Drosophila melanogaster: one gene and its partners. The protein of the gene in region 4 interacts with the protein of the main gene of each other region in a pairwise test. Each region holds a gene or a part of one and is shown on either strand. Other genes may lie near its edges.

What was found.
Region 1: the proteins of CG10164 (region 4) and GstO2 interact in a two-hybrid assay, tested with the Drosophila melanogaster proteins (one large-scale study listed by BioGRID).
Region 2: the proteins of CG10164 (region 4) and Polr2F interact in a two-hybrid assay, tested with the Drosophila melanogaster proteins (one large-scale study listed by BioGRID).
Region 3: the proteins of CG10164 (region 4) and HP1e interact in a two-hybrid assay, tested with the Drosophila melanogaster proteins (one large-scale study listed by BioGRID).

Annotation. Positions count from the first base shown.
Region 1 is NT_037436.4:8,520,920-8,525,068, forward strand, and holds GstO2 (glutathione S transferase O2), read right to left. Parts: upstream 2,583-4,149; 5' UTR 2,513-2,582; coding exon 2,482-2,512; intron 2,303-2,481; coding exon of another isoform or gene 1,581-2,302; exon of another isoform or gene 1,492-1,580; intron 1,400-1,491; coding exon 813-1,399; intron 754-812; coding exon 616-753; 3' UTR 516-615; downstream 1-515. Other genes in the region: se (sepia), read left to right, coding at 1-323, 381-515; GstO1 (glutathione S transferase O1), read right to left, coding at 2,948-2,978, 3,034-3,155, 3,215-3,798, 3,856-3,883.
Region 2 is NT_033777.3:5,369,795-5,372,926, reverse strand, and holds Polr2F (RNA polymerase II, I and III subunit F), read right to left. Parts: upstream 1,133-3,132; 5' UTR 1,041-1,132; coding exon 1,012-1,040; intron 950-1,011; coding exon 583-949; 3' UTR 530-582; downstream 1-529. Other genes in the region: hd (humpty dumpty), read left to right, coding at 1-252; CG34277 (uncharacterized protein), read right to left, coding at 1,452-1,492, 1,551-2,441, 2,504-2,507; CG31542 (uncharacterized protein), read right to left, coding at 2,677-3,132. UniProt on the Drosophila melanogaster protein: DNA-dependent RNA polymerases catalyze the transcription of DNA into RNA using the four ribonucleoside triphosphates as substrates.
Region 3 is NT_033777.3:9,319,959-9,322,917, reverse strand, and holds HP1e (heterochromatin protein 1e), read right to left. Parts: upstream 1,149-2,959; 5' UTR 1,093-1,148; coding exon 568-1,092; 3' UTR 557-567; downstream 1-556.
Region 4 is NT_033777.3:23,553,806-23,558,929, forward strand, and holds CG10164 (uncharacterized protein), read right to left. Parts: upstream 3,139-5,124; 5' UTR 2,428-3,138; intron 2,208-2,427; 5' UTR 2,203-2,207; coding exon 1,042-2,202; 3' UTR 518-1,041; downstream 1-517.

The DNA of each region.
Region 1 (4,149 bases), on a different chromosome or scaffold from region 4:
AATATCTGGACGAGCAGTATCCATTGCGACCACTCTATCCACGTGATCCGCTGAAGAAAGTGCAGGACAAGTTACTAATCGAGCGATTTAGAGCGGTGTTAGGTGCCTTCTTCAAGGCATCCGATGGCGGTGATCTGGAGCCCTTCTGGAGCGGCCTGGACATCTACGAAAGGGAGCTGGCTCGACGTGGTACGGAATTCTTTGGTGGCGAGCAGACGGGCATTCTGGACTATATGATTTGGCCCTGGTGTGAGCGCCTCGAGCTCCTTAAGTTGCAGCGTGGAGAGGATTATAACTACGATCAGAGTCGCTTCCCCCAGCTGGTGAGCAGGTCCGTGTATCCCAGGAGTGATGAAGTACATTAGTATACCATTTTTCAGACCCTTTGGCTGGAACGCATGAAACGAGATCCGGCTGTGATGGCCTTCTACATGGAGGCCGAGGTTCAGGCGGAGTTCCTGCGTACACGGAGCCTGGGTCGACCCAATTACAATCTGCTGGTCAAGGATGCCTGATGCACTTGGTTTATTGAATTTTTCGCATGGAATGAATAAAACATAAATGCAGTCCATAACCGGTTCCAAAGATTTGATCTTGTCTAAACCAGTTGTCGTTCTATGGTGTACCCTTGAAGGCAATGTCGTACTGGGGATTTCCAAGGGTCTTCGATTTCTGGAACTCAGCATGCAACTGGACATCCAAAGCTGTCTTCTGCACAACCTCATCCTGGGTCATCAAATCGCGCCACTTGAGCTGTAATGGATTTTTGATGAGATACATGCATCATCTTATGTTGGATTACTTAAACATACCAGCTTCTCAAATCGTTTTGTATCCAGCTCATACTTTTGCTCCGTATTGATCTTCATGCTGGGAAAACGTTCGAACCAAGGCCAAATCATGTAGTCCACGATTCCAATGTGCTGGCCGGCAAAGTAGGGCGTTCCTCTTTTGCCCAACTCCACTTCAAAAACATCCAAGGCATTCTCGAAGTTCGGTATGGCATCTTTCGGAGCGTTGGGATTACAAGTCAGCACAGGATAAATGGCACTGACCACTGGAGCAAAACGTTCGATTAGAATCTTGTCCAGCGCCTTCTGAAGCGGATCCGTGGGAAAGAGTCGCGTCTGGGGATATTGCTGGTCCAAGTACTCTGCTATGATGAGCGACTCCACGAGGGTCGGTTGGTCCTTCACCCCAGTAAGCTGCAGGGCTGGCACTTTGCCCAGAGGACTGAAATCCTTGTACCATTCAGGCTTCTCAATCAAATCGACGTAGATCTTATGATGTTCAATATGTTTGGCGGCCAGCATCAGACGAACTCGGTGGCTGAAGGGGCAGAATGCCATGGAAAAGAAACGAGGAACTCCATCTTCTGGCAGCTCGGGCTTGGTGGAACCTGTAAGATCAATGTAAGCTTGATTAATTGGCAGGAATAAAAGCACTGACCCAAATCCCAGTTGAAAAGGTAGAAATAACATTTGATGGTCTACTTTATATATGGGTTTAATATTTTTTTAAAAGCGGTTTCACAATGTTAGTTTAAGTATGTTGCTTCCTGTCATCCATTAATACATCCTTTACAAGGGCTGGAAGGCTACATCGTAGTCCGGTTTGTTCTCATGGCGGGTCTTCATGAACTTCGCATGGATTCGGGCATCCAAAGCGGTGGCCTTGACAGCCTCATCCTGAGCCACCAGATCCCTCCACTTCAACAAATTCTGATAGCGTGTCTTGTCCAACTCGTAGGGTTCATCCAGAGTGTACTTGAGGGCCGGGAATCGCTCGAACCAGGGCCAAATCATGTAGTCAGCAATGCCGATCTTGTTGCCTCCAAAGTATGGTGTTCCGCGCTTGGTGATCTCCTGCTCGAAGACATCCAGAGCGGTCTCAAAGTTCTTGATGGCATCAGCGGGTGGATTCTTGGTGAACAGCACGGGGTAAATGGCGCTGACAGCGGGCGACAGGCGTTCGATGAGAATCCTGTCTAGCGCCTTTTGCAATGGATCCTTGGGGAAAAGGGAGCCCTCGCCCGGATACTGTTCATCCAAGTACTCGGCAATGACCAGGGACTCCACCAAAGCCGGTTGTCCAGGCAGATTTGGCAACTGGATAGCCGGCACCTTGCCCAATGGACTGTAGTCGATGTACCACTCTGGTTTCTCGCTAAGATCAATGTAAACCGTGTGATGTGGAATCTTTTTGGCGGCCAAAACCAAACCGGCACGCTGCGAGTACGGGCAGAATCTCATCGAATAGTAACGCAGGACTCCATCCTCGGGGATCTCCGGTTTGGGCGAACCTGTTGAAGGGTGATTTGTGACGTCAGCAGAAAGTTTTCCATTATGCTTTGGCTAAAATTAAAGCTCTATCTCTGCGTAATTTACGCCTCTCAAAGTGGGGTCTAGATAAAACTATGAAATCAATTGCCAACTTTTGCAGCGTCACTATCCCGATGACCTTGAAGTGCCCCCAACTCACCCCTCTTGAAGTGCTTTTGCGGCAGGGCCATTTTGTTAACAATTTTAAAATAATTCCCAAGACGTGAAATGTTGGTGGCAAAGTAGTTCCGATCGACTGACAACAAATAGAGGGATTCCGGTACCTTATAAAGTGGTCGCAGTCGCCGGACGAGTGAATTTATCGAATATATTTCGATTGTTGAGCGGGTGAATTTAAAATTCTTAAGCTCATATTTAAGAAAATTGTTTGACCACATATTAAAGACTACAAACGACTACTCTAAGATAAGTATTTTCATATCCATTTATCATTCATACCTTCATTAATCTAATTCTAAAACAAACGTACTTACAACCCGTATAAACAATGAAAATGCAAAGATTTATTTTTCAATCACAATAATGCTGCCGTAGTAGGTACATGTGTTACATGTTATATGTGCAAAAGGTACAATGCTGAAGTGGAAACGCCATCATCCCGTAGACTACCCCAATTTGACACGTTTGGCCTCATTGCTAGAAACGAGAAATGGATCAGTCACACATTATATGTATAATCTTCAAATCTTACTATAGCATATTATAATCGGCCTGGCCCGATCGCCGGGAGTTCATGTATTTGGCATGGGTCTGTCCATCCAGATAGAAACACTTGACAGCACGATCCTGGATCATCAAGTCGCGCCACTTAATCTGCAGTAGAACAATCTCGGTAATTTAAAAGACATAATTAGAAAACCAATAGGACCCACCAAAGTGGGAAAACGTTCCGGACTCAATTCGAATTTTTGTTCAAAAGTGTATTTCAGAGAGTCAAAGCGCTCGCACCAGGGCCACATCATGTAGTCAAGCATGCCTGGGCTGTCGCCACCAAAGAACTTGGTACAACGTCGCTTCAGTTCCTCCTCATAAACGACCAATCCGGCATAGTGATCGGTGTCAACCAGCTGCTCGGGATTGTCGTGCAGCAACAGGTAGTAGAAGGCATTGATGAACTGTCCGAAACGTTCGATTAAAATCTTCTCCTGGGCTTTTTTAAGCAGATCCTTGGGATACAATGGCACCTCCGGATACTTTTCGTCCAAGTAGTCACAAATAATGAGCGACTCGATCAGCACAGGATTTCCCTGTTCCTTGACCAGCTCCAGTGCCGGCACCTTTGTGGAGCTGCTCACCAGGGAGAACCACTCGGGTTTGTCGCGAAGATTGATGTAGATAGCGTGGTAGGGAATCTTTTTGGCATCCAGGACCAGGTGCACACGGTGTGCATAGGGGCAAAAGCGCATCGAATACAGCTTTAAGATCCCATCATCCGGAAATACGGGCTTTGGCGAGCCTGCAATATATATGCGCCTTTTAAATGTGAATTTGGAACTTAGTAACTTATACTAACCAATAGTTAAGTGCTGAGTATTGCTCATATTGGCAATACAATTTTTTCTGGAAAGGAACACAACCTGTTTTGCGGGTTATGACAATTATCGATATTTGACAGTAAACGTTAAGGTGGCTCGATAACGTATTGTCTTTTTACAGGATTGATGTATTTTTAATCAATTATTATTTAATCGGTTTAAAAAAATCTATCTTAATCTTAAATATTAATTTTTACAACTTTAATTTTTTTAAATATAATTCAGTCATCTATTCATCTATTATTTAGGACTTTAATTTCAATAATTTATGG
Region 2 (3,132 bases), about 18 Mb from region 4:
TCCACGCTGGCCAGCAGCATCAATACGCTGGCCTTTAGCAAGGCCACCCAAAAGCTGCTTGAAACTCCGGAGACGCCACAGTCAGATGCGGAAGGAGAAGATGCCGCCGGGCAGGTCTTTGGCGAGCAGAATCTTTCGGAGTGTGGTCTGCTGCCGGCAGTAGTTGGCTCCATCTGCCGCACGGGCCAACATGCCGTAGGTCTTTTAGAGCGCGTTTGCTATCAAAGAGATGAGGGATATGCTTGGAGCTAGACACCAAGTGCTCCTCACACTAGAGCAGCTTTGTTTTCCTAATCTGTACGTCTGTTATGTGAAATAAAATATTGTAGTAGAATAGCAAGCCCGTGGTGTCATTGTTTTTCGTACTAATCGCATGGTAGCAAGTATCTGTGGCTACTTCAGATTATAGCGGTATTAAGAGATAATATTAAAGCAAAGGGATTGCTTACAAGATAACTATCGTGTAGCAATTAGCGCTTGCAGTTCGTCATTACATTAAGTCCCCGGGAATTCAGCAGCCAAATTGATTGTGCTTAATCTTAGGCGGTATGATTTATTATGGATAAAGGGGTTGAGTACTAGCTAGTTGTCCACCATGATGAGCTCGTCGATGCTCCAGTCCTCGTAGGAGTGATCCGGCAGGTATCGGCGGATGATGATGGGAATTTTCTTTTGTTTCAGCTCTTTCATGGCGATCTGCAGGGGGTCCGTTTCCCCGTCCAGCTCCACCATGATGGGTGCGCACATGGCGATCTGAAGCGCTCGTGTGCCCAGAACTCTGGCGCGCTCGTATTTCGTCATGTACTTTGTGGTAATGCGCTTGGACTTGGGCACACCGCCTCCGCCCGCACCACCGGGAGCTATGATCTCGATGTTGTCCGCCTCCTCCTCCTGGTTAATGTCCTCGTCCACGTCCTCGTCGACGTCGTCGAAGTCATCGCCGCCAACGCTGCAATTGTTAAGTAGGTGATTAATGGGCACAGCTATTGATTGTGTTACGCCTGCACTTACTCGTCGTTGTCGTAGTCCGCATCATCCATCACTGCTTTTCTATTGTTTTAATCGAAATTAAATAGTAAAGTGCGGCGTGTTTTGCACGCGTCGCAGTCTTCTTCTTCTTTCACACTGCTGCATGCGGTTTTCAGCACTGGAGCACAGTGCGCAGAACTTCCAGTGCTTCTCAAACTTTCAGGGCTGCATTTCTGGCAAATGGAAAAGTGATTACTTATCGAATAGCCGTCTGTGTCGCGAGTATTTGAAATTGGTGGAATTCGTATAAAGGTTAGACTATTTGAATATTTTAAAGTTTAAACTACTAAAATCTGATTTATACGTCTTCCTAAAATAATTTAATCCAATTAGAGTAGTTGATTCCATAAAATTTAAATTATAAATAGTTAAATAATAATCAAATGAAACACTTACCTATTGGTTTGTTATATTTTAGCCCTTCATCTAAACGGACATTTAACGTAATCGAATTCAGTATTTTCTTAATAAAAAAAGGGAATATTAGTCGCCTGCTCCTGGATAACTTGGAAAATACAAACCTTGTAATCCCGGATGAGTTCTGTGATAATATGGACGCTGGAGTGATGCGGTTGGTGGGCGAGTTCTGGGCAAAGATGCCGCGGGACAACCGGCTGGATTAGGTTCGTACGAAGGGGGGTATGCCGGAGAATATCCGGATGGAGCTGGTGGATGTCGATTTCCGGGCGGACTGCTTGGAGCTAGATATCCCGGCTCGTAGTCGTAGTCGACGCAGGTGCGAATGGAGACGTTTCTTCGTCTGCCAGCGGGGCCTCGATGGATGGCTTCCCTGTCGAAGCGATTCAGATCGAAGTTGGCTAGAGGATCCACTTCCCGCTGACGCGTGCTTCTGGGAGGATACGGATAGTAGGGATCCTGGGGTTCCTGGCAGTTTTCATTTATCGCGTGAACGGCGGGCTGAAACGATCGCGAGGAGTCGCTGCATGGAATCTCAGAATGTGGGTCCGGCTGCAGCAGAATTGGCTCCTCCAAAGCCACTTTCCGATTCTCGCCTAACCCGATGGGGTATGGATCCGAATGATACACCCGTGTCCTCCGCGCAGCTGCTCCACTATGTCCGTTTCCTGGGCAATTGGTACAGCATCTCTGCGGCTTGTTCCCGGAGGTGTCGCAAACCATTTGCCTTGCGGGCTCCGGAGCTAAGGCACAGCAGCATCGCTGGCGGATCTTAGTGGGCGGAGGTAAACTACGGCTTATCGGCGCTTGAGGAGTGCAGCAGCACCGGGTTTCCGCAGCCACGCCCTTTGGTGGCCGCTGTGAGCGAATCACGAAGCAGTGGCGACTGCGATTCCGCTCCGGATTCCGCTGGCTTCCGCGGCAGTTGCAGATGTCCTGCCCGGAGCTGAGCTGCGCTGGCCTCCGACCCACCTGGTAGGCGCTCGGACTGTTCCCTGTCCGGAAGGAGACGCTGATGTATTAAAGGAACACACACATACCACCTGTTTTACTTTACCCATTAGCGGTCACATTGGCTTTATTGACCCGGAAAACAGGTCGAAACTGGAAATTTGGCTAACCTGAAATTTGGGAGTACTGTCATGTCATGTTGTGAGCGTTATAATCTGTGTAGCCTGCTGCGTAGCGCCTGCTGGGATCCCAACGTTCTCCCGTGGCACGACATCCAGATCACTGAATGACGCACTTCTTCTGCTTCTTCTGCGATCGACAGTGGCCGCAGGAGTTCGGGTTCTGACTCTGGTTGCCGTGGTGCGGGCGATAGGGTTGCGGTCCTCTGGGCACGTTCTGGCCACAGGTCACGTTGGCGTAGGTGGGCTGGGCCATCGCCTGCTGCTGCTGTTGGTTGGGAGGCGGGGCCACCGGCGGGGCGCAGTGGCACTCCGTCTTGGCGGGCTTCTCGCGACAGGTGCAGCGGGTCTCCAGGGCAGGCGGCTGCTCCCGCGGACCCCGGCTGCACGTGATGTGGTCCGCCTGAACGGATGGCGGAGGTGGCCGGCTACGGTTCTGAGTGCACGTGCACTCCACGGTGGGGGCTCCCCGGCTCTGGTAGAGGCTGCATGCGGCGGGATCGCCCGGCGGCTGCGTCGAGTTGACCTGGCACCCGCCTGCTCCCTGGCCCCGCGG
Region 3 (2,959 bases), about 14 Mb from region 4:
TTGAACTTGCTCGACCGGATATTGCAGTATCAATTCTCGGCAAAAGTGCAGAAGGCTTAAACGAAACCTTTTTGCTGCTATTGTGGCTACGTGCCCACTGGACGCAACTGGGTAGCACCAGAGCCCCCCCCCCCCCCCTCCAAAAAAAAGGACCCAAGTGACGAAAAACAAACACGAATATATAGGGCAAAAGTACGTCCGGCCACCACGCCCCATCAGCCAAAAACAGAGAATAGGTCTTACGACTTTTGGTACTTGCGATGAGACAAGGGAATGGCCACAAAAACGGAATGCAAATATTTTCGCTTCATTTTGGCCGTCGTACATTCCTGGCCCTTGTTTGCCGGCACTGTTGTTGCAATTAAGAGTGTTTACGCTGCCTGTCGGGCAAACACGCCCCAAAAATCACTTAAAACTTGGCATTTTGCCTTCATTATTGTTTGTAATGCTGTGCAAAGGGACACCTTTTATTATAAAAAGTAAAGCAATTTAACCTAACATATAAAATATAAGAAGCTCACACACATATTCATAAGTTTTTTTTTTTTGAAGATCCAGAATTGCAAGTCATGATATATAATTATTTAAATAATCGTGAAAATTGCAATGATTTTCATAGAATTTCAGAACCATCTGCGGTATTTCCACATATGCAATTCCACTTGGCACCACTTGTGGTTGATCGAGATGCCAAAACCTAATTAAAAACGATATTTCACCATTGTTTTTAGCGCCTTTTAGAATCTCTTGTGCAGTGAAACCATGATTAAAAGGACTATCTACTACTAGACATGGATCGATTTTCAGTCGTTTAGCTTTAGTTTCATATTGATTATTCAGCTCTTGACCCCTCTTCAGACTTTTTTGTGATTCAATCGAATCAATAAGTGAATGGCAATCGAGATCTGCTGCCGATTCCCAGGTATTATCTTCATCGCTATAATCCAGCCATTTGACCAAGTATTGTAATTGGCCCATATAATGCCTTCGATCCAAAATCCTCTCTACAATATACTCCTCAGTTTCTTCAAAATCCGTCGAATTTTCAGAGAAATTCGAAACGGTCTCGCCACCATCGGCATCTGAATCCATTTTATATTTTTAAATGTTCAAATAGTATTTTTTTGATGAGTTTTGACAGCAATGTCAGAGCGAAAAACATTTTCGTAACTTTTTATCTACAGTTGCTACTCAACAAAACGTAGTTTTCTGTGCAGACAAGTTTTCTTTTAAATGCTGGTCTACTTTAATATCTTCTTGCCAAAAGAAATAAAATTATGAAAAATATTGTAATGAATTCGTTTAATATCCTGAAGTAGAAAAGTTAGCCATATACTTAATGCCCACAGCTTAGGAAATGCGGCATTAATAATACCAAATTCAATAGCAGAAAGTGAATAAAATTGTTTGCCGGAAATCTATTAGAGATCCCTGGATGCTGGGTAAGTCCTTTCGAACAACAATAAGAATAAGATGAGCCGTCAAAAGGAAAAACTGCGGAAAATATCGTAAAAAATTATGCGTAAACTTGGCGAAAAGTTTGAAATACTCGTAGAACAAAGTTTTTTTCAGTTTGGTTTCGTGTATCACGTTGTTTAATGAACAAAATCTTTTGCCTTTCAAGGCAAACTTTGCAGGCCACAGAAATCGTTGATGAATCACTTGACAATAAATTGGGGAATATGCTTTAAAAATTTGAAAGGTGTAACAACTAGTTATTTTTCTTATTTATCCTTCATTGAAAAACATAAGTTTATGGCTTCCCTCGAAGTCAGTTCCACATTTTATGGCTTTCTTTTGTAGAATGAAGGCGCCACGTACCTGATATTAAATCGGCAAAGTTTTATTACCCGAAATTAAAAGCTCGATTATGCGCGATGACGTGGGACAGATTTGTGGGATTGGGTCGCTTGGTTTGAATACTTTTTAGAGGCCAGCATTTACATGCGAATGTGGCAATCAAACTGTGCAGTGAGTGCTACGTGGCCGGAATAAATCAGGCGACTTATGAAGTAGGATGGAGTTGGAGATTCACGGCAAATACATACATAAAATGTGCGCCTTCGTCAACTGCAGTACAGTGAAGATTCGAAAATCGAAATGGAGTGGAGGGGTGGTCAAGAAACGTGAGGTGCGGTTGTTTACTGAAGCCGTAAATGGGGGGCCGGGCAATTTCCGTGCGGCGAGTTGTGAAATCAGCGTCAAATCGGAAGCACAGGAAGTGGAGAGGTGAGCAGTCGGCGCAAAAGTCAATGTGACTGCCTATGCCATCACTTCCGGCAAATATTGATTGCAGGGGGTGGTGCCTAGAATGGCTAAAAGCCATTTCTGCCTGGGTAAATTCAATGTAATTGATAAGCGAACTCTGCCGGCAGATAGGCGGCAATGAGCATAGTGTCCTGGCACACAGATACCCCATATATGTATGAGCAAACATACTGGCACACAGACACACTAGCAAAAGACACTCAATTAAGAAAACAATGGCGGCTCGGTTTGTGCGGCAATTGAGTTTTTCCTTTTTGCCATCTGCGTTGGCCGTCTTTGTTTAGCTTTCGGCTTTTCCTCTTACCCCGTTCCCAATTTGCCAGTAAGACGCTTAGTCTTGCCACAAGCCCATCGCAAAATGCTCTCTCAGTATTCTCGTATTTGACTAGTACTGCGATATCTTTGCCTTTTAGCCAACTTGAGTTTCTTGGGTTTTTGGCCCCATTCTACTCCTTTATTCCTATCGCACGCTCATTAGCCGCTGTCTTCGAGCCAATTTTACTGTCACTTTTTGCCTCCAGTGCTGGCTGTAGTTCCTTTGTTCGGATTCCTCGCTTGACTTAACACACTTTGGGCTAATTTCCAGTTTTATTTGATCATCATTATAATTATTGTGTGCTTGTTTTTGACAGTATTACGGTCATAATTTTTTTTTTTTTTTTTTTTTTGAGACCAATATTTGATGTTTTTA
Region 4 (5,124 bases):
GATTTAATTAAAACTAATGAAAACTTTTGTGCCCACCCACTTGTTCACCCTCTGCAGCCCAGTAGTCAATCTTGCAATTTCTGGCCAACGACAAATGACAGGAGGCAGGCAGGTTTTTAAGGTCCTGCAGCAGGACGTCTGCCAACTGGCACAAGCCAAGCCCAGCACTTGGCCGACATTTCACCAAACCCAAACCGAAAGAGGGGATTTTCGGGTGAGGCACGGACTTCGGATTCGACCTCCGGGCGCATTGACAGAAGAAAGTTGAAAACACTTTGGCCACAATTGTGCAAACCGAACAAAATGAGCTGCAACCACGCACTTGAGGGCAACTCGGAAATGAGCAATGAAAGTGCGTGGCCATGCAATTAGACAACTCCTCCAGGAAGTGGACAAGATGCAACTTTTATGCAGGGAAGCACTCCAGAAAGGTGCACGAGTTTTGATTGGAGGACTCTGGCGATTGAATATGATTAAATCGCTTTAATTACAACACAATAAATTAAAATACGAGGGTAATTGAAAATGTGAATGCCGATAACATCTATATAATTATTGTGCATTTTGTGATGAATTTAAAATGGCAAATAAATAAACCACTTGAAACCACTTGTTTATTTGCGATGAATAAAGAAAAAACAAATATTGTTTGCGCTGTACAATTCAATTCAATCGAAAACAGCATATTGATCTTTTAAACTGGGTTTCAGACTTGCAATTTTATTAATTGACCCTAGTGGAAATAAATCCAAGAGACCATTAATAACCAAAATGTAGGTTATTTTTTAATTAATGGCTTATAAAAATATATATTTGTTTTGTATCACTTAATATTTTATATTATGGCCGCATTGTATGCATTTGTTGAATTATTACCGTTCATTAGACTCTGGCAACTGATATATTTTTGCATAAAATATCCATTCAAGATCCTTTTGAATGACCAACATATGAATTTGTAAGCATTATTTGGAGATTCCAATGTCGATAGAAAATAAATGGCTTTCGAACAAATAATTTGCGGAATGGTTACCAAGCGGCCTAATTTTTCTTCCTGCCGTGGCAAAATTTGACAGGGTTAGGTGCCCTTAGATGGGAACTGGGCCTTTTGCGTAAAAATGATGGTTTGATCTTGGAGGACGGCGTTTCGCGAAGGGACATCGACCCAATGGAGCTTCCATCGATACATCGTGCGGTCGTGGACAACTCAGAAGTCTCCATAAGTCCACCACGACCAGGGTATAAAATGTTGATCAATGGAGCGTGAGAAGTTCTTAGATTTTCGGCATGCGTCTCCTCTACTTCGTGCGATTTGAGTTTTGTAAGCGCATAAACTGAACAATTGGATGCACCTCCAGCTGGCTTAATGTTCACCATGTAGGAATAAGAGGATCCCTTGTTCAGGACTTTGCTGCCCTCGTGTTGGAGCTGCAGTTTCACGAGAAGATCGCCAATCTGGCTGAAAATCTTATCAGTCTCTGAGATAACTTTCTCACATTTTCCTCCCTTGGCAATTAATGGTAGATGTTTCCTTTCGCTAATTGCTGATTTGGTGGAAACCTCGGGATATCTAATCTTTTGGTTCTTTTTACGTTTAATTTCGAAGGTGTCTTGCCGGCGAAGGCCTGAAAGTGGAATCAAGCTGGTGCAACGTGCCTGTGGAGTTGGTTCTGCTGGTCCAATTTTCCCATGAACATTTTTCATCTGCTCTAGCGTGCAGCAAATCTGATTCATACCTGGCATAGTCCGAAACAATAGTTTGCTGTCTTCTATTTTCATGTTGGTAATGCTAATGGATGTATCTTTCTCTTCCAGTCCAGCAATACTAAGGCTCTCCAGATCCTCTTTAAAGCGGCGCTCATTATCTGCATCATTCAGTACAGCCAATGCTTGAGAGCTTAGGTTTATAGGCATATCTAATTCTGGAGGTGGTTCTTCATCCTCCAGGAGGGGAAAATATTGCTGCTCTATATCTGCCTGAACCTTTTTCATCCGTTCCTTTTCTATGGAACTAAGCATTGCTTCCAAATCTGAACGATCCTCATATTTCGCACAGTCTACCAAAATAAATGGTGCAGCCTGGTCATCTATCTCTTGGGATTGGGGTTCCACGTTCAGTCGAATAGGCTCCGTGTTGACAACTCTCGATGGTTCAGGTTGTTCTACTTTTGGTGTCCGATCTCTACGACTCTTCTTCTTCATGACGGCTGAAAAATAATTATTTTTAGACTAAAAAATACTATTTGTTAAAAATATTTAATCAAAAATATACTTATTTTCTACCATCACATTTTCACATAAGCCTCCTAATTTTTTTTCGTACACCTTTTTATGTATCATTCAAGTCAAATTAGCAGCGCCAATCGCATTGTGCTTGATTGTGGCCAAGTCGGCAAAGCCGTGATTAGGCCAACAAGAAACACTCACCTGGTCGCCACGAACTCGATGCTGCCACTCCCACGGTTGTTGTTTCGCTGTTGGCTCGGCTGCAAACAGAAATTTAAATCCCTCAAAAGTACTCGGCGAAGAAAAACGAAATTGAAAAGGATAAAAGTTTTGCGTGCCCCAGAATCAACAGGGACGAACCTTCAGCCCCTGATCCAGCTTCTGCTCCTGAATTTTGCTCCTGTCTTGGCTCCTGGGCACTTGTAGCTGCCTCTGGCCAAAAAGTGGTGGATAGTAGGAGGAGCGTTGGCGGACAGGAACACAATCCGTAAACCAAAACTTTATTTTGTGCTGATAAAAACTTAAATGTTGCTGCCGCTGCCACGCAATCGTAAATGTTTGATATCCCCAAAGGTTAACAATTTCCGTTGCCGCTTGGATCTGCTCTGCTTCGGCCCAAGTTAGTTTTCTTTATTTTGTTTGCCAAGAATTTTGCGGTTGGCCAACTAAACCGCATACACACAGCTGGTGTGGGAGTGTCTTTGGGCTGTCTGTTCGACTGCTGTGAATGTTTTTGTTTGTGTCTAGAATGGGACCAGGAATACGGATAGGGCCCCTGCTACTTGGGGAAAGGCGTACTCTGTTCAATTTAGATCATCTATGTGGAGCTATAGGAATGGACAATCCTGTATTCCGGGAGCTGGTGTTCCCAAATTTTGATATTCAAAATGGTTCTTCGAAAGTCACTGCGCCTGACAATTACGGCAATGCTTTAAATTATATTGTAAAAATAAGAAAACGAAAATGTTGTTCTCCATCTAATACTTTCTCACTCATTACAGCAGAAAACGAATAAATATATGCAATTTCTTTCTTAAATTGTATAAAGAATTTATATTTTTAATAATCAACTCTGAACTCAAAACTACGATTTCCCTAAAAATTGTGAGAGTAAATGCTTTTTTAAAACAAAGCAAATTAAAGCAAAGCAAAAATTTGAAAGTAAAGCAGTAAGTATCATACCAAGAATTTAATTCTTAACTGAGCGTGAAGGGCAGAGCACTAGAAATGCCCTTTCTCTTAACTTTACGATATTCGCAGCCCCACTCACAGGACTAAAAAGCTCTCTCTGCCGCCCAGAACAATAAGTTCCGAGGACTCGGCTCGAAGCGCACACGACGATTCATAAACAAATCGAGCTGTTCCTGGCCGTGGCGATTCAGTTGAATTCGTTACGAGCTGGCGAAAGGACGTGCTTGGCGGTCGTCGTCGTGGTGAAAGGCTATTATATCGAGTGGCATTCGGTGTCTGAGGTCCACGTTCGTGTGTCAGAGTTTGGCCAAAACTAAGGCGCGAAAACACATTTGCGGCGAGTGCGATTTTGTCGAGTTTTACTCAGTGTTTTCCATCGAGCTTTCTTAGCTTGCTAAAACGTGTGCGGGCAATTAAAGTTTCTAGCGTCCCACTGACTGATGGTCGCGCAAATGGCCATTGCAAATTGCATGTTTTCGTGGCGAGTAGTGCATGTCGCAGCATGACACCGAGAGCCCAATAGCAAATGCATGTGAGCCAGCCGAAGAGGGCTTAAAGTGTTTTTTGGCCAGCCCTTGTTCGCCAAAGTGGAATTATCGTCCAGCAAGACAAACGGCACGCAAGGCCGGGCTAATGAAAGCCCCATCAAAGGCAAGTGCAAATTTGTGCTAGGGGTTGGGCAGGAAATCTAATTAAAGACGAAATGGCAAATGCGGAGCATAAAATAATTGCAAATGTAGATGAAACCTGGTGGCAGCATGTGAGTCCCAGGAAATGGGTTTCGCTTGACAAAAAACAAAACCCCAACCACACAACCGAAAGGAATTCGCATACATATCAAATTTATGAAAGGCAACCTCACACACACATTTCCACATGTGGCTATGTGTGTGTGTGAGAGTGAGTGCCCTGGCCAGAACTGAAATTTATTTATTTGTTTTCCTTACTTACGAGGCAGAAGGGACAGGAAAAAGTAAAACTACACCGGCAGCTGAGTTCGGAAAACTCTAATAAAAACAAATGTTGAACAATGGATGTGTGGCACTTTAAATTACTGAAATATGTTCGCTAGTCTTGCAACTTTCAGTAACATGAGAAAAATGATTACCTATAAAATATTTTTAACACTTGTTCAATCATTTTTTGATTATCCAATGATTAGTCCTTTTGTGGCAAAGTCCTTTAATAAACACTTACCAAGTTCAGTTCGTTGGCTCTGGGAAAACATACAGAGGTGGTCAAAAGTATTTTCACAACGCACAATATTTGCAAACTTCAACTTCTTTTTGTTATATTTCTTCTTGTTGTTGTCCGATTTGCCTGAAATAGTTCTTATCGCTTAGCTTGATCTATGCAGAAGGTAGTCGAAAAGAAATACGAAAGATAACGGTTCATAGTACAAAGCTTAAAGCAAAAGAAAATATGCATGCAAGTTGTCAATAGTATTTTCACATGTTTATTGCGCTTCAAAAGTATTTTCACTCAACTTAATTTAGTAAATTTCAGCTTAACATCTAATTTCAACATAAGAATTTCTTTATTTTATATAAATACAATACTAATATTTTGTAACACCACCTTTGGCATCAATAACTGCTTGAAGTCTTTTTGGTATTGACCTTACCAAAGTTTGTGCAAATTCTAATGTCAATTTGGACCAAATCTCCGCTATTTCAATGATGGCTCCCTCTCGTTTTCTATTTTTAT